2 linked regions of the Rhinolophus ferrumequinum genome follow. The main gene of each other region encodes a partner of the protein of the gene in region 2 in a complex. Links are inferred from orthologs where the notes say so. Each region holds a gene or a part of one and is shown on either strand. Other genes may lie near its edges.

Region 1 (8,201 bases), on a different chromosome or scaffold from region 2:
GCTCTGCCTCCCAGGCCCAAGGAGTCAGGCACTGCCAGTCACCCATGAAGAGATAACATAGAAATGACACCTTGAAGGGGACAGTGGCATAAGACCAGTAGGAGGGAAGACTCACGGACAACATGGCTATTGAGACCACACTTCAAGAGGGGCTGCCAGGGCAAGTGAGCCACGGGTGGATCTGGGGAAAAACTGCTACCACTAATGCCCCTTCACAGTCAGAGCTTGCCTGTTAAAAAGGGCTCCCCCGCCATCGCAAGGGAAGGCCAGTTGGTGGCCATGAAAGGGACAACCCCCATAGGGTCTCTTACAACTCCGAGTATGGCATCCCACAATACAGAAGTATTGCCTCTTGGGCCCCAGAGATCACTCCATCCAGATGCCCATCTTGCCTCACCTGTGATTTCAGCTGATGGACTGGTCACCCCTTGGGCTTCGATGCTGCCGGGTACACAGGTGGGGGTAGTCATCTGGGGACTACTTGGGCGTGAGGCATCCTGGGTCAGGGCCATAGCAGGTTTGGGTGGAGTTGGAGGGGTAGAGACAGCAGGTGGGCTCTGGAGCAGATCTTCAGGGGGTGGCACAGGCACTGCCACAGGCGGCGAGCTCCATGCCTCCTTGTTCACCAGCAGCACCTCGATGGGGCCACTCACACTCTTCAAATGAATCTGGTACTTCTTCTGCCCATTGAGGCCCTGGGGGTGTGGGACAGGAGGAGTTGGAAGCAGTCTTGGCTCCTGCCTGACTCTGGGCCAGGACCAGTGTCCTCTCCCACCCCAGGCTGCCCGTTCTCCTAGATAACCCCGAACCCCAGGCCTCAACCTACCTGCCCCACCCGGAACTTATCGGGTTCTACAGCCTGCACCCGCCCTCAACCAACCCCGCCTGCATGGTCTGAGCACCCACCTCTGGGATGGGTACCTCCAGGCTGGTGCCCGATGGAGCCCGGATGGCCAGGAGGGTGTCTCCTAGAACAACAAGGAGAATGGGTCAGGCTCCAGGGACTCAGTTTGAGCTGGGAATAGGGGTGCCTGTCCGTTGGAGCAAGGAAGGAAATCACAGTCTCTGAGAAGCTAGACAGGGGGTCTCACCCATCCCCCACAGTGGCTGAGGCAGAGAACTAAAGCTTGTCTCCTTCCAAGAGCCCAGGGGGTGGTTAGTAACCAGAAAATCTGGATTCAAACATGTGGGACGAAAGATTGCTGGCCAGGGGCACCTCACTCCTCAATTGACGGGGCTGCTCCCTAAGTGTAGGTGTTCTGGCCAAAGCCAACATCCCTTCCTCAGAACCAGTCTGTGGGGTGCAAGATGGAGAAAGAACAGTTCCTGTATCCATAATGCAATAAACTATAAGTTGAAAGTGGGAGTCACTGCCCTCAGCATACAAGCATGCACACACCACCCCCCCTTATGCCCATCACACCTGAGAAGCCAAAACCAGGGGCCGGTGCAGATGGGGGCTGACCCAGGGACCCAGCCCACGACTGTTGTACCCTCTTAGTATGGTTAGCCTCCACAGGATCCCAGTGACCCTCAAACCCAGGACTTACCCTGCCTGGTTCCTCTTTGGGCAGGCCCCAGGAACCCTCTGAAGAGATGTAACTCTCCTTGGGTACTGAGCCCACTGCTCAGGGCTGTGGCTCAGCCCAGCCCCACCCCCATCTCCCCCGACCCAGGCTCTGCTCACCAGCAAAGCATCTGCAGATGTCCTCATGAGTCACGTAGGCCAAGGTGTGGGGGTTAAGGAGAACGACTGAGGCCCTGCCTATGGTGACAGATGGCAGACCACAGAGAAGACCCAGCTCTTTAGGAGAGGTCTGTCATACAAGCCCTCAGAAGTACTGGGGCTTGGGGTCTATGCGGAGACGGATCACAGGCCAAGACTGGTGGGAGAGGAGCTCTGAGAGGGGAGCCGGAGGCTGGGACCTGGCCAGAAGCTGCAGGACCATCCTCCCAAGAGGGATACAGCCCGGGGCACCACAGAGCAAACCCAGATGACTAGAGGGGCCCTCGCCCACTCCCCGGGAGCATGGACTGCCAGGAGGATATCAGCTGTTCTGTACGTCCTCTGTGACGTTCCGGATGCTCTGCTGCACCCACACCTTGTGCTGGTCCAGTTCTTGCTCTCGCTGCTGCAGCTCCTCGATCTCTGCCTTGAGCTCAATCAGCTTGTCCGCAATCTCCCGGGTATTGCAACCAGGCCCCACACCCCTGAGTGCAGGGAGTGGGGCTGAGGAGCTGCTGGGAAACTCTGGGTCCCATGGCCCCTGCTCTCTCCTGCACCCTCCACCCCCCACCCCTGGCACTTCTGGATAGGAGATCCCATTACCCTCCCAGGTGCCCCCACTCACTTCCACTGGATGCTATTCTTGGATTTTTTCTCGATCAGCCCAATACCTTCCAGCACGTTGGTAATGTCGTAAATCCGCCGCTTCTGGCGCACAGCTAGGGTGTCAGCTGCCTGGCACACAGAAGAGAGTGGAGGATGCTCAACCCCACTCTCAGGTGTACCCCCAGCTACCTTGTGACTTGGTCTGGAGCGGTCTGAAAAGGGGGTGGATTAGGTCCCAACCCTCCTCCCAGGCACTACAGCAACTCAGGACCGCGGGGCGGGAAGAGGCCTGGCGCACCCTGGACTGATATGCTGATGCTCTTTTCCCCACACCAGGCGGGGAGGGCCACGAGGATCAGCACCTGCAGCCCGGAGACTAGCACATAGCGGACACCCAATGGCCTCGGCCGAATGAATGAAACCGCTCCCGGCCTCCTTCCTCTGAGAAAACGCACGGATGGTGGCCTGCTCTCTGAGGGCTCCGCTGGGCCGCCCCGGGGGTTCCCGCTACCGGCCCAGGCCTGGTCCACCATTCACCCCTGTCTTCCCTTAGCCCGGGCCGCACCAGCTTGAGGTCAAGCACGCCGTCCTTGGCCTCCTGCAGAAGCGACACGAACTTGGTAGTGAGAAGTCCCAAGCTCTTCTCATGCCGGCTTGGAGTACCCGGGGGCGGCGGCGCCTGTGGCCCGGCCTCCGCCATCGCGCCAGCCTGCCGCCTCCCTTCAGCCAGGCCAGGCCAGGCCGGCGCCGCCGCCACTTCCGCTTCCGTTCCTGGCCACCCCGCCGCCGGCGCCAGCGTATCTGCTTCCGCTTCCGCTCCGCGCTCTCCCAGGGAACCTGGCGCAATGCCTCTCTGCCGGCACGGTCGCAAAACTTCGGGGACCATCAGCAAATGTCCAACCGCCGAAAAGGACGAAAACAACCCGCAAATCCCGGGAGACAGGACATGGTGTAGAAGCATGTGGAACAAGTCGGTGGGCAATCCCGGCAGTAGAAAAAGGGGAGCCACCAGAACCTTCCTGACTGGCCAACCTGCCCCAACTCCACTAACTCTGTCCCAGCCCCCCATCTTAGGAAAAGAGATCATGTTGCCTAATGAACCCAATATGTTTTCCCAATTCTGCTCCTGGAAGCTGCCCTACTTTCTTGGGGTCATCCACCCTATTTTCATACCTCACTTTCTGCCAAACAAAAGCACTAACTATATCTAGCTTGTCCACTTGTCTCCATCCTTTTTCCCCTTCCCTGATTCCAGCCTCATCGTCTCCATACTGCAGTGGTCAGAGACCATGGAATTATAACCAGTTTTCAGCCTATGCAAACATGTTTACCGGTGTATAAATATATGTAAAGTACTTAAAGCAGTTCCTGGCATGTAGGAAGAATTATGTGTTTGCTGGTATCATTTTGTTATTTTTAACATTGTCATTATTTATCATTTATTATTTTTCATTTTAGATCAAGTTCTCTGGGAAACAGACTTTGAGACAGGGATCTGCCTGCAAATCCCTTTATTGGAGGATCCACGCTCATAAGGAAGTAAGACAAACAGAATTGGACAGAGAAGGAATTAAACTGCGAGGCAGTTAAAATAGAGGCCTCAGCCCATCCTACTAGGAGAGGCTCTGAAACTAGGGTGGCCTTTCCAAGGTGTTCCACATCCAGGCAAAGGTACTGGGCCTTTGTACCTCAAAATTGACCCAGAGACTCAGCTGTGAGATCTCAGCAGCCTACACTCCTGGCAACTAGGGGAACAAGTGCCTTTGTCCTGAAGGGTAGATTTGGATGGTTCACCAATGACCACTACATTATTACTAACTACCCTGTAGTCCCTTCTGTGGCCCCCTTTAACTCTCAAGATAAACAGCTTTCATACCCCTTGGGCCCCTCTCCTGCCATCACCTACCACAAGCATTCTTCACAGCAGCCTGTGATCTCTCACTCTTCTGTAGAGGTGCACACCCTCCTCTGAGGGGCCCATCAACACAGTTTTCATGTTGTGACATTGTTGTCTGCGTCCATGTTGCACAACCCCCTCTGCACCCCAGGTTGAGGCCATCTGCTTCGCGTCTGTGTCCTGAGCACTAAGAGGTCCTGGGTGGACTCCCCGCCCCCCAAGGAAGTGGCGCCCTGCCCTCCCCACCCCATCCCACAGTGCAGATGCTCTTTCCTGTTGGGAATAAAATGCCAGAGTTTCAGTTTCCTTCCTTTCTCTACGTGGCCTTGGGGCGGGAGGGAGCTTGGAGGGAGGAAGGGGCGCCTGGGCAGGGAGGTAGGACACAGGCTTCCTTGGGAAGAGGAATTCTGCTGTGTGCTGAGGTGTGGGCCAGGGCCACCCAGGCCCTCTGAGCTAGTGGAGGGAGTGTCCAGCTCTGCTGTGAGGGCAGCGGGGAGAGGGCCATCTCAAGGCCAAGGCTGTGTGAGGAGGGCGGAGGACTGGATGCCTGGTTGGGCCTGGTGAGTTCCATACCAGACTGTCCTCTGCCACTCAGCAGGGGAGGTCTGTGCCTACCCTGCCTCACTTGGCATCTGCACAGGGCAAAACTAAGAAACCCAGCAGGGGAAGGCTTCCCGGGTATCTGTCCGTCATACCACCTCCCTTGCATTTCTGGAGGGGGCTGGACAAGAACCTCCCTCTTCCTCCTTGGAGGGGCCTAGGGAGAACCTGCATCTCAAAGGAGCATCCACTCTGCCTGCTCTAACCCACATTCTTGCCCCGACTCCCACCTCAGCTCCAGCTCCTGCGGGGCCTGCCATGGACTCAACAACCAAGAACGAAATGCAGCCTGCACTTCTCCCTGGTATGAGACCTTCCGGGTGGGTTGGGAGAGGGATGTGGCAAGAAAGAGGGGAATGGTGGGGTTGGGTCCTTGCCAAGTCTGGCTGGAGCTCTATGGGTCAGTGAGATGAGTGGACCACCCTGGGGGCCAGACTAAAGAGCAGGAAGGGGAGCAGGTTCGGCAGCTGCTTCCTTCAGGCCCTGCCCAACTGACATGGCTGCCCAGGCTCTTCCTGCCCAGGGCCTGAGTGGCCGGAGCAGGAGAGGGCGGAGCGGCTAGCCCGGGGTGCAGCACTCAAGTGGGCCTCAGGCATTTTCTACCGGCCGGAGCAGCTGGCCAGATTGGGCCAGTACCGCAGCCGTGAGGTGCAGCGTACCTGCTCCCTGGAAGCACGCATGAAGGTGGGCATCAGGCAGGGGGCAAGAGTGCTGGGGGTGGGCGGCAGGGCTGGCCAGGCCTCATTGGCTGCCTCCCTCCCACAGTCAGTGGTGCAGTCATACCTGGAGGGTGTGAAGACTGGTGTGTGGCAGCTGGCCCAGGGCCTTGAGGCCATGCAGGAAGCCCGTGAGGCCCTGGGCCAGGCCCATGGGTTGCTCCGGGGCATGGTCGAGACTGTACAGGCACTAGAGCCCCTGCGGGAGCAGGTCAGCCAGCACAAACAACTGCAGGCCCTGTCTCAGCTGCTGCCCCGGCTGCAGGCAGGTGAGTATGCAGGGGCCCTGGGCCTCAACCATCCAATAGTCAGTCAACACCCATCAAGGGGCTGGGACACTAGTGGGAGATTGCGTGGCGGGCCACACCAGGAACCTCCCAGAAAGTAACTCAGGCTTCAGATGGCATATGAAGCAGGGTGCAAATTAGCTCATTCTGGTGTTCCTGAGCATGGGATGTCTGAGTCAGAAAGGACACCCAGTCAAGTGGCTCTGGCCATCCTTGTTGTTAAATTGAAATATTTCCCTAACAGAGTGGGTGAATAGCCATTAGAATGATCCTCCAGTTCTTCTCTGCCTTCTTTCCAGGATCCCTGACTTCCTCATGTTCCTTTAGCTCAAGGGTTTACCCCTGGCCCACCAGGCCTCTAGGACCTTCCGTGGATCCTTTCAGATTGGCTAATGCTCTACTATACTGGTTATTAAATATTTTACACATGATCCCAGCCCCAGGACCTCCGCATCTGATCCTGTATCCATTGCACAGGTGGGAAGGCTGAGACCCAGGGCGGTCTCCTCTTTTCCCTCCTTAGTGCCAGCTGCAGTGGCCCACACACAGTCCTTGATTGATGCCCAACGGCTCTTGGAGGCATATGTGAGCCTTCGGGAGCTTGAGCAGCTGCAAGAGGAGACATGGGCATCTCTGGGGCACCTGGAGTTGCCAATCTTCGAGGGGTTGGGCCCTCTGTCGGAGGCACTGGGCCAGGCTGTGGAGGCGGCTGTAGGGGCCGCAGGACAGCTGGCACGGGAGGACCCAGCCCTGCTGGTGGCTGCTGTGCGTGTGGCGGAGGTGGAGACGGGCCGCACAACCTCCCTGGAGCAAGCCCCCCGGGACTGGCGGCAGCGCTGTCTGCGGGCACTACAGGAGGGCCTGGAGCAGGTCCACTTTGGGACACATCTGCTGCCTGGGCCAGGGGCCCTAGCAGGGTGGCTGGAGGCTCTGCGGGTGGCTCTACCAGCCGAGTTGGCCAGAGCTGAGGCACTAATAGCACCCTGCTGCCCACCGCACTACAGGGTGGTCCAGCTATGGGCCCACACCCTGCATAGTGGCCTGCGCCGCTGCCTACAGCAATTCCTGGAAGGGCCTGAGCTGGGAGCTGCTGATGCCTTCACCTTACTGCACTGGGCACTACATGTGTACCTGGGGTCAGTGCGCTTTGGGCAATGGGAAGTGGGTGGATCGGAAGCTGCAGGCTCAGTGTGACACTGGCCACCTATCACCAGGCCAGAAATGATGGGGAGCCTGGACTTGGGGCCTGAGGCTGACGTGTCTCAGCTGGAGCCCCTCCTGACCCTGGAGAATATTGAGCAGCTTGAGGCAACATTTGTGTCCAAAGTCCAGGTGAGTAGTTGGGGCCCAGGTCCAGAGAAGCTCTGCTACCAGTTGTGTGCCTGTATTTGCAAAGTCACATGTCTAACTGTCTCTAGCAGGGTCAGTGCCCTGCTATATCCTGCTGCCCCTCATCCCTTCCCCCAGGCAAATGTGGTGCAGTGGCTGCAGAAAGCACTGGATGGGGAAGTAGCTGAGTGGGGCCGGGAGCAGGAGCCTGACACAGACCCATCTGGCTTTTACCACTCACCAATGCCAGCCATCGTGCTTCAGGTGAGTGGGAAGTGGCGGGCAGGTGGGCAGCTCCCATAGGGAAAGGGGAGGAGGGCAGGACTAGGACTCTGCTAATGGCTGCCCATTCCTGCCTGTAGATCCTGGAAGAGAACATTCGAGTAAGCAGCCTGGTCAGTGAGTCACTGCAGCGGCGGGTGCATGGCATGGCACTGTCAGAACTGGGAGCATTCCTGAGAAGGTCTGCCAAGGCACTGATCCATTCCCAACACCTGGTCTTGCTCCTGGGGCAGCCCAAAGGGGCTCCGAGTGAATAAGGCCCGCCAGTGGGAAAAGGCTCCTTCAAACAGGGCCTTGAGTATCTTGGAGGTGGGGCTAGAGTACCCGGAACAGAGGTTGTTGGGGCGCCAGAATGACAGCAGGTACAAAAGCCACCTCTGCCCTTTGCAGCTTCAGTGATGCCCTGATTCGATTCTCCCGAGACCACCTCAGAGGGGAAGCAATGGCCCCTCATTACGTGTCCTACCTACTGGCTGCCCTCAACCACCAATCAGCACTCAGGTACCAGAAGTCTCCCACAGAATGCCACCTTCACTAACCCCTGACTGAATATCTATTAGGTACCTATCCAGCCACACTGGGCCATTAGGAACTTTGGACTCACATAGCTCTGGGGTTCCAATCCCAGTTCTACTAATTACTAGCTGTGTGACGTTGGGCGAGTTACCAAATCTCTCTGAATGTCACTTTTCTTATTAGTATTATATTATATTATATTATATTATATTATATTATATTATATTATATTATATGGGTAA
Region 2 (7,670 bases):
AAATCTCTGTCAGGGTGTCTCCCTCTCTGTACCAGGAGAAGACAGATGACTAAATCACAAGAAACTTTTATCAATGTAAGAGGTAGGGTTTGTTATACACATAACAAACCTTACTTTTGTTTACCATGCTTTCCCCGGTCACCTCCGCAGAATTGGCCTCCCCCTCATCTTTCTTCATTAGCCAAAGATAGTATTTAAGCTTGAATTCTAAGCCACCTCTGAGAGTTACTCATTTTTCCCCTGGATATCTCCCATGCATATACATGTTCAACTTCTATTTTTCTCTTGTTAGTCTGTCTTTTGTTATCAAGACCCCAGCCAAGAATTTAGAACCTGGGAAAAATTAGTTTTCCTCTCCTAGGGTGTTCTTTGGAGGCGTGTCCTTTGGGAGGTAATTGGATCACGAGGTTGGAGCCCTGAGAGTAGGATTAGTGCCTGTATAAGAGGTCAGGAGCTAACTTGCTCTCCCTGCCCTATGAGGATAAAATAAGAAGGTGGCCATCTGCAATTTAGGGAGAGGATCCTCACTGGAACCTGACCATGTTGGCACCGTTCTTGAACTTCCAGTCTCCAGAGCTGTGAGAAATAAATTTCTGTTGTTTATTAGTCACCCTGTCTGTGGTGTTTTGTTATGGCAGCCCAAGCTGATTAAGACAGAGATGTAAGCAGCTACTAGCATTTTCCAGGACATGTCCTTGTCTGCTTGTGCACACACAAACACACACACACTCATAAGTGTGCACATGCACACACACATCTCTATATATATTCTCAGCGGGTCACAGCGTATCTAAACGTCACCTTCTCTGTGAAGCCCTCCCTTCTGCCTGTAGGAGAAAATAATTGCTGTAATCTGGTTCTGTGCTTCCATATTTCTCTTTCCTGGTATAAACAGTCTTGTCTCCTCATGTCATGTATGTCTGTGAATCGGTCTCTCCTGTTTGACTCTGAGCAATCCTCTATTTTATTAATCTGTATAGTATCAGCACGCAGAGTACTATCTGGCACGTATTTGGAGCTCAAAAATGTTTCCTGAGTGAGGAATGCAGGAAAGGTAAAACTTTTGAAATTGTGGTTTATCTTCTTATCAAAGAACTATGTTTTTATCTACTTATTTCTCAAAAGAAATATAAAAGCTAAAGGAATCTGAGCATCAGAGAGGCTAAGCTTACTTATCCAAGGTCATTTGACTTCCCTTCATCTCAGCTTCCGGTGGGCTCTAAGGTTCTTCTCTGAATGTGTAAAATACGTGGACAGGTAGCAGAGAAATGACTAAAGGCAATCAGTTGTACAGAAAGTCAAGTATCTTGCACTTGTGCGGTAGGTCCCTGGTACTGCTTTCACTCCTGGCTGACGGTAAATTGATTCAATTGAGGAAGGAAATGATATAAGGAGAACAGGGATCTCTCAACTTTACGCTGTAGGATTCCACAGAAAATAATCTGGATATTATTTTAGCCAGGACAATGTGAAGTCACATAGAAGGAACACTTTAGAATTGTGGAGTTAAAAGACAAAGAAATGAAAGGGATTTTTTTCATTGCAAAAGCCAGAGAACATTACAGATGAAAAGCAAACAAAAAGTGTCCAAGTAGTAAACAAGACTCGTAAGAGCAATTTGAGTATATTGGATGCTGTAATCTAAAATTTGTCAGATCCAAGGGGCACTTTTCAAAGCACAGTGGCTTCCGCTTGCAAGTGATTGTACAAGTCTTTAAGACTAATATTAAGAGTATAAAATACAAGAGGGTCGACTGACCCTCCTTCCAAGAGAAGGATTTGACCAGAAATTTTCAAAAGGACTCATGATGTAACGAGGAGTAAAAAAATTAAAGATGTCTCCATGTCTAGGTGGTGGGATGAGGGCGGCAGAATTTCTCTGTATACGGGGCTTAGAAATGGTGATTTCTTTAGGGAGAGGCCCAGGGGATTTATCTTGAGGTTGAGCCAAATACACTGATTTGCTTATGTTTTATGATACACACAAATTAGCAGAACAAAGTTTTCTAAAGATGCCTTTATTTATATTTTACCCAAGAAGAAAATGTTTCTTGTTCATAGATCCAGGAACATACCCCTCCCACCCCCCTGCTGAAAGTTCCATGAGCCCTTGTCCCCCTCCATCTTCCCACACCATTGCCACAGTAACCCAAGAAGGTGGAAAACAGGAATGGCTGGAGAAAAGGCCAATGTTATTGAGGAGGAAACCAAAGACAAATTGGATATTTAACAAACACATTTAGAATAAAAAATTTCGAGGGATTAGAAAATTCTCTCTTTAAAGGACAGTTTAATGGGGGTAGGGGCTGGGGGGTATGAATTTGGATCACGCTCTGAGACTCAACAGAGCAGACACACCAAGATGAGGAATATTGTTGGGAGATGAGGGCTTTTACTGGGAAGGACCCAACCACTTTCTTCTAACATGGAACAGAACAAGTTTCACGTGATATCCTAGACGACAATACAGGGCTGAATGCCAGTGCCTAGGAGGTGGATCAAGTCAACACCTAAATGAAAGCCTCACTAAGTTATGCTCCCAGATCATGGACCCCGCCCCCAAATATGGATTGGAAATGGCAGGATTAGATGAATAAGGGGGCTTTGGGACCAAAACTCTTCAAGAAGGCTGCACTTCTGCAAGTCAATCCACAGAGATTTCAAGGCGAGGCAGTGGGTAAAAATATTTGGATCTTCAACCAAACATTTTAGAATTCTGTTATCTTTTAACACAGAAACAGGGTTTTGTGGGATACTTGACTATAGAGAAGCCAAAGGAACAACTTTTTGCCTGTTTCCCAACTAAACCAGACTCAACAAGCTCTCATTGCTGTAGTAGCTCTTGCGAGTTCAGAATATTTAATTAGTGATTTTTGTGCAGAATTTTTTTTTACTATTAGAGATAGTTATCCTGTGTAAACACTGCCGAATGACTGGAATCTTGAATCCATAAGAAGTTTAAGATTCGTACTCTAAATCCTCCATTTCTTAATTCTGAGCCCCCAGTTCTCACAAAGAGGCTGGCTGCCGTGTACACTTGGGTCCAAGGACTAGAAGGGGGGCTTCCAGCTATTATTTGGGGGTGAATATTCGAAAGAGTCAAAAATAAAGAATTCCTTTGAAAGAAAATGGAGCTAGAAACATACCACTGAAGGAATAAAACACAGGAATGTATGTTCGGATATCATGGGTGGAGAGCTGAATACACTTCACCAGCAGAGAAATAAGGTGTTCTGACTGCAGGATGCATAGGGCTTTCCCTCTCTAAGCCTTCTGTTCAACCCTATCACCCGACCATCCATGTTTCTCTAAGTGCCCATTGTATGCTAATCAGCAGAATGGGAAGATTTTTGCTGTCTTCAAGAAACCAATGTTAATTAAGGTGTTAACACGTTAAGTGGTGCATTAGAAGCCGGAATGGGTGTGATCAGCATAAAAGTGGTTAAATTGTGAAACCATGCTAGGTGGGGTGTAATGCAGAGAGGTCTTTGCTCTGTGCTCAAGTCCTGAGACATTAATTATGCCCTGGCTCACTGCGCACCACAGCCTGGTGCAGCCCTGAACTTTGGACTTGACTCCCAGGCCTAGCCTCTGGGGCTTAATCCTCTGGGGGCTGTGGGCTCCAGGGGGCACTAGTCACCTGGGCTAAGGGTCCACCAGGCCCACGCAGTGATAAGGAACAACCTTGCTGCCCGGTTTACCTCCCTACTACATGAAGGACCATCATCTGGGCACAAGCCAGGCGTTGATGTGGAGGCTCCAAGTCCAGCAGAGGCAGGTGGACAGGGCTCTGCACTGCATACGCACACATCGTACCTTCCACGCACCTGCACACTCATGGGCAGCCTGCCGTCCTTGCGCACATACATACACATGCACTCACCCAAACACACCCACGTGCACAGCCTGTCTTTCTCCTCGAGTACACATACACTCGTGTGTGCACACACCTGAACTTTCCTCCACGTGTCCACACAGCCCCCTTCATCCCTCATGTGTGCACATCTGCAGGTGCACAGAGCAGCCCCCTCTCCGCTGTGTATGCACATAATACCTGTGCCCACAAAATCTGTTCACTTCTGCCTTTGTGCACACACCTGGCCACCTCTCTTCTTTGCGTGCACATGTGCATATACACCCAGTTCCCTTTCCTGTGTGCATATACACCTGCGCACACTCTCAGTCAGCCTCCCACTCATCTGTGTGCGCATATTCACAGGTGCACACACGAGGCTCCTCTCCTCCGTGTGCACAACCCCTGACCCGTCTCACATGTGCGCACGAGTGTTCACACACATTCCAGCCTCTGTCCCCGTGTGCGCACATGTGCACATCCCACCGGCTTTTCTTCCCCGCGCGCGCACCGCCGCGCACTGGCGCCAATCCCTGCTCGGCGCGCACACGCACAGCCCATCCCCCTCGGAGTCTAGCGCGGGCAGCCCGGGCGGGAGGAGGAGGAGGAAGAGGGAGCCGAAGGCGCGAAAACGCGCGCAGGCGCGCTGCGGGAGCCGGGCCGCCCCCCACGTCACCGCGCCGCGCACGTCACGCCGCCCGACGCCCGCTCGGCAGGGTGAGCCCCGCGCCCGGCGCCTCGCAGGGCAGGACCCTGGGCCGGAGCGCGCGCCGGGACTGCCCACGTCTCTGTGTCCGCGTGTCCGAGCCCGCGCGTCCGAGCCCGCGCCCGCGCCCTCGTGCCCACCCCCGCGTGTCCGTGCGCCCACCGCCAGCCAGGTGCGGCAGGCAGGGGGCTGGCGAGGGCTAGGGTCCCGGGAGGGGCGCGGGCACGCGGGGCGCCCACTGGTCCCCCGTCCTCCTTCCCTGCCGCGTGTGCGCGCCCCTCCCGGCTCCCCGGCCTCCTGCCCCTGGTCCTGGGCGCCGCCGTCGGGGGCTCCCAGGTGACTCGGCCGTGGGGTCGGGGGTCCCGGGTCCCCCTTGGGGCCTGCAGGTGGCCTTCAGGCGGAGCAGCAGCACCGGCGTCTGCACCCGGTGGGGGTCGGGGTCCGCCGGTGCGCAGGGGGTCTAGGGGTCCGCGGTGCGCGGAGGCGGCGCTGACCCGGACTTGGCCCGCCCGACTGCCGGTTCCGGCGCGCGGGAGGCGCTCGCGACGAGGCGGTCGCGGCCTAGTGACAGGCCGGAGGCCGGACCCCGGAAGCCCACCTGTCAGAGTTACCGGCCGGCCGGGTGGGCGAGGGGAGCGACCCAGCCGGGACCGAGGCACTCCTTGGGGTGCGCATTTGCGCAGGGACAACGGTGCTGCGCCTGGCGGGGGGTAGCCGGGTGTCCTTAGTTGCGCCCAGGTTGCGCGGGCGCAGGCTGGGTGCCAGGCCCGACCGGGTGCCGGGTCTTTGTGTGGGCATCGGGGAGGACAGGGGTCGTCAGGGAGCCAGACTGGGCATCCTATTGTTGGATGCATTTCCCTTTGCTGAGATGACTTAAAATCCCAGGTTGGGGGGTGGGGGTTTGCCAGCTGCGCTTTGAGGATGCAGTGTGGGTTTGGAATGGAAGGTGCCTGCTGCCTGGAGGGGCAGTCAGATTGCTGGTGGTACTGGGGGAAATGTTGATATTAACTTCTGGTTTTATTCTTACTTATTTATTTTTCCTTCCCTCTTTACCAGAAAAATCATTTTTCTTCTCTGGAGGGTGAACATTTATAGCATCGATTTCACGGATCTGGTAACATGGCAAAAGATGTAAGTATGTTTGCTTGGTTTTACAGACAGATGTTTGCCTAGCACTACACTCTTTGTAGTTTTCCCATTTTATTTCAGAAGGACGACACAAACTACAGTACTGTGTATTTTCAGACTTTTAAAGCACATGAAATAGGATAAAGATGAAAGAAATTTATTAATAATAGCTTTTATGGAAATGTGTGTGATTTGCTTCAGCAGCTGGGTTTTCAGTCTTAAAACACTGGGTGACAAACACTGCATGAGGCTATACGGTATCACTGACTTTTTCTTCTTTTCAGAGGGTATTAACTTACAATTTTTAATATCTTTGTTGAAGAACACACTGAGTTGGGTGAGATGGAGGGCTGGGCCCAGGGTGACTGGTGGTGTGACCCTGAGCACCTGGTTTGTGGAGAGTGTAGGAAGTTAATTCAACTTTGATGGATAAAGTGCTGAGTGCTTGTTTTGGCCACTTTTTTCTCAGAAAAAATCTTGGTGGTTAATGAAACGAACCCTACTTTAGCTTGTTTTGTGTTTGTCATGAAACACTAAAGTATAGTGAATAATTTTTTTAACTTGTTCCAAGAACTAAGCTTTTGGATCTAAAAATGTAGACTATTTTATTGGTTATGTAGTTCTTACCACACTTTGTCATATCACTTAAAGTCATGGAAACCCCAGTTCTGTCCTTCAGTGTTTCTCAGAATGCGTTGTTCTGTAAGCCTTAGTGAGAAGAGGCTGTTTATTTATTTACTTACTAATTGCACAGAGCTGGAAATGTGGCTCAGATAAACTGCATCTGCCTGAAACAACTAGAGGTAGTAAAAATGTGTCTGTAACCAAAGAATAGAGGCTTTCCGCCTTTCCATCAGTTCAGTGGTTTTAGTATTCTCTAAAAAGGCTGAGTGAGAGCCTCCTACACTCTCCCGACTGTCAGGCACGCACTCACGTTTGCTCCTGTCTTTCCATGCTGGGTTTCATTTGGTAGAGAGTGTATGAACACACAGTTGCACCCTGTGTGGTGTGTTTTAAGTTAAAGTTATAATCCGTATATAATATTAGGTTGATTTTATCACGTCTAATTGCATTTGTTGATGGCCACATCCTGTTCTCTGGCACATATACACCAAAGGGGCAAGACGGGTAGTATGTGCTCACAGCAGAATAATTAGGGATCTTGAAGAGGGCGCTGCTGTACCCCATGCTTCTGTTAGAGTGCAGTTCTGGGGTTGTGTGTTTCAGGGAATCAAATTTATTTGCCCTTTTTTATTAACCAACTAGAGGAGAGGGAGTGACTCCGTGTTTGAGAGACTCGCTTTGATTCCCTGCTGGCCTCGGGGATGTAAAGACAGATAGTAGAGGCCACTGCCATCTGGTTGCAGGAAGAAGGGCTTGGTAAACAACCTTTTCCGACATTCACTTCTGGAGAAGCAGCCCCTGCAAAGTGCGGGGGCAGCTGCGGGCCGCCTGCTGGCTGAATGGCAGGGTGGTTCCCCTGGAGCTATGAGGTTGGGTCGTGGGTGCTTTGGTGATAGTGGGTAGTCTAGGCCGAGAAACGGCCTACGGTGAGGTAAGTGGCCTCCCTGTCCCTAGAGCTGGCTGTTGCCAGGAGCCGCTGGAACCACGTTTCCCCGGGACTGGTGGGTCACGCTGGAAATGGAGATCGTGGCCAGTGAAGGGATTTACTTTACTTCGGCCTTTTCTCTAGGTACCTTATCTTTTTTAAGTAGGGGAGTGACATGTGAGTTTGGAAAGATGACTTTGGCAGCCAGTGTTGGAGGGGAAAGCAGCAGCCGTTAATTGAAGCCATAGCGGTACAATTTTTCTTAGGTGTAACATCAAGGCCTACAGCACAGGTGGGGGCCGAGCCCTCAGGTTAAGGTGGAGTGGGTTGGGACCCCATCTTTGCAGAGCTCTGGGGGTTCCATGGGAGGCTATTGGGGCCCAGGGAAACTAGAGGGGGCTGGAGTTAGGTTTTGGGGATCATAGTGCAGGACA

Evidence for each region.
Region 1: TFDP1 (region 2) and E2F4 share a complex: the UniProt entries of both Homo sapiens proteins name them as parts of the DREAM complex. The link is inferred for Rhinolophus ferrumequinum from reciprocal best matches to the Homo sapiens genes TFDP1 and E2F4.

What each region holds. Positions count from the first base shown.
Region 1 is NC_046298.1:16,921,514-16,929,714, reverse strand, and holds the start of E2F4 (transcription factor E2F4), read right to left. Parts: upstream 3,209-8,201; 5' UTR 3,033-3,208; coding exon 2,898-3,032; intron 2,462-2,897; coding exon 2,352-2,461; intron 2,212-2,351; coding exon 2,050-2,211; intron 1,732-2,049; coding exon 1,688-1,731; intron 969-1,687; coding exon 907-968; intron 696-906; coding exon 398-695; intron 1-397. Other genes in the region: EXOC3L1 (exocyst complex component 3-like protein), read left to right, coding at 5,088-5,133, 5,338-5,513, 5,595-5,814, 6,356-6,968, 7,047-7,164, 7,300-7,425, 7,524-7,624, 7,834-7,944. UniProt on the Homo sapiens protein: Transcription activator that binds DNA cooperatively with DP proteins through the E2 recognition site, 5'-TTTC[CG]CGC-3' found in the promoter region of a number of genes whose products are involved in cell cycle regulation or in DNA replication.
Region 2 is NC_046287.1:55,998,217-56,005,886, forward strand, and holds the start of TFDP1 (transcription factor Dp-1), read left to right. Parts: upstream 1-4,544; 5' UTR 4,545-4,731; intron 4,732-4,742; exon of another isoform or gene 4,743-4,895; intron 4,896-4,961; exon of another isoform or gene 4,962-5,226; intron 5,227-5,615; 5' UTR 5,616-5,678; coding exon 5,679-5,690; intron 5,691-7,670. UniProt on the Homo sapiens protein: Can stimulate E2F-dependent transcription.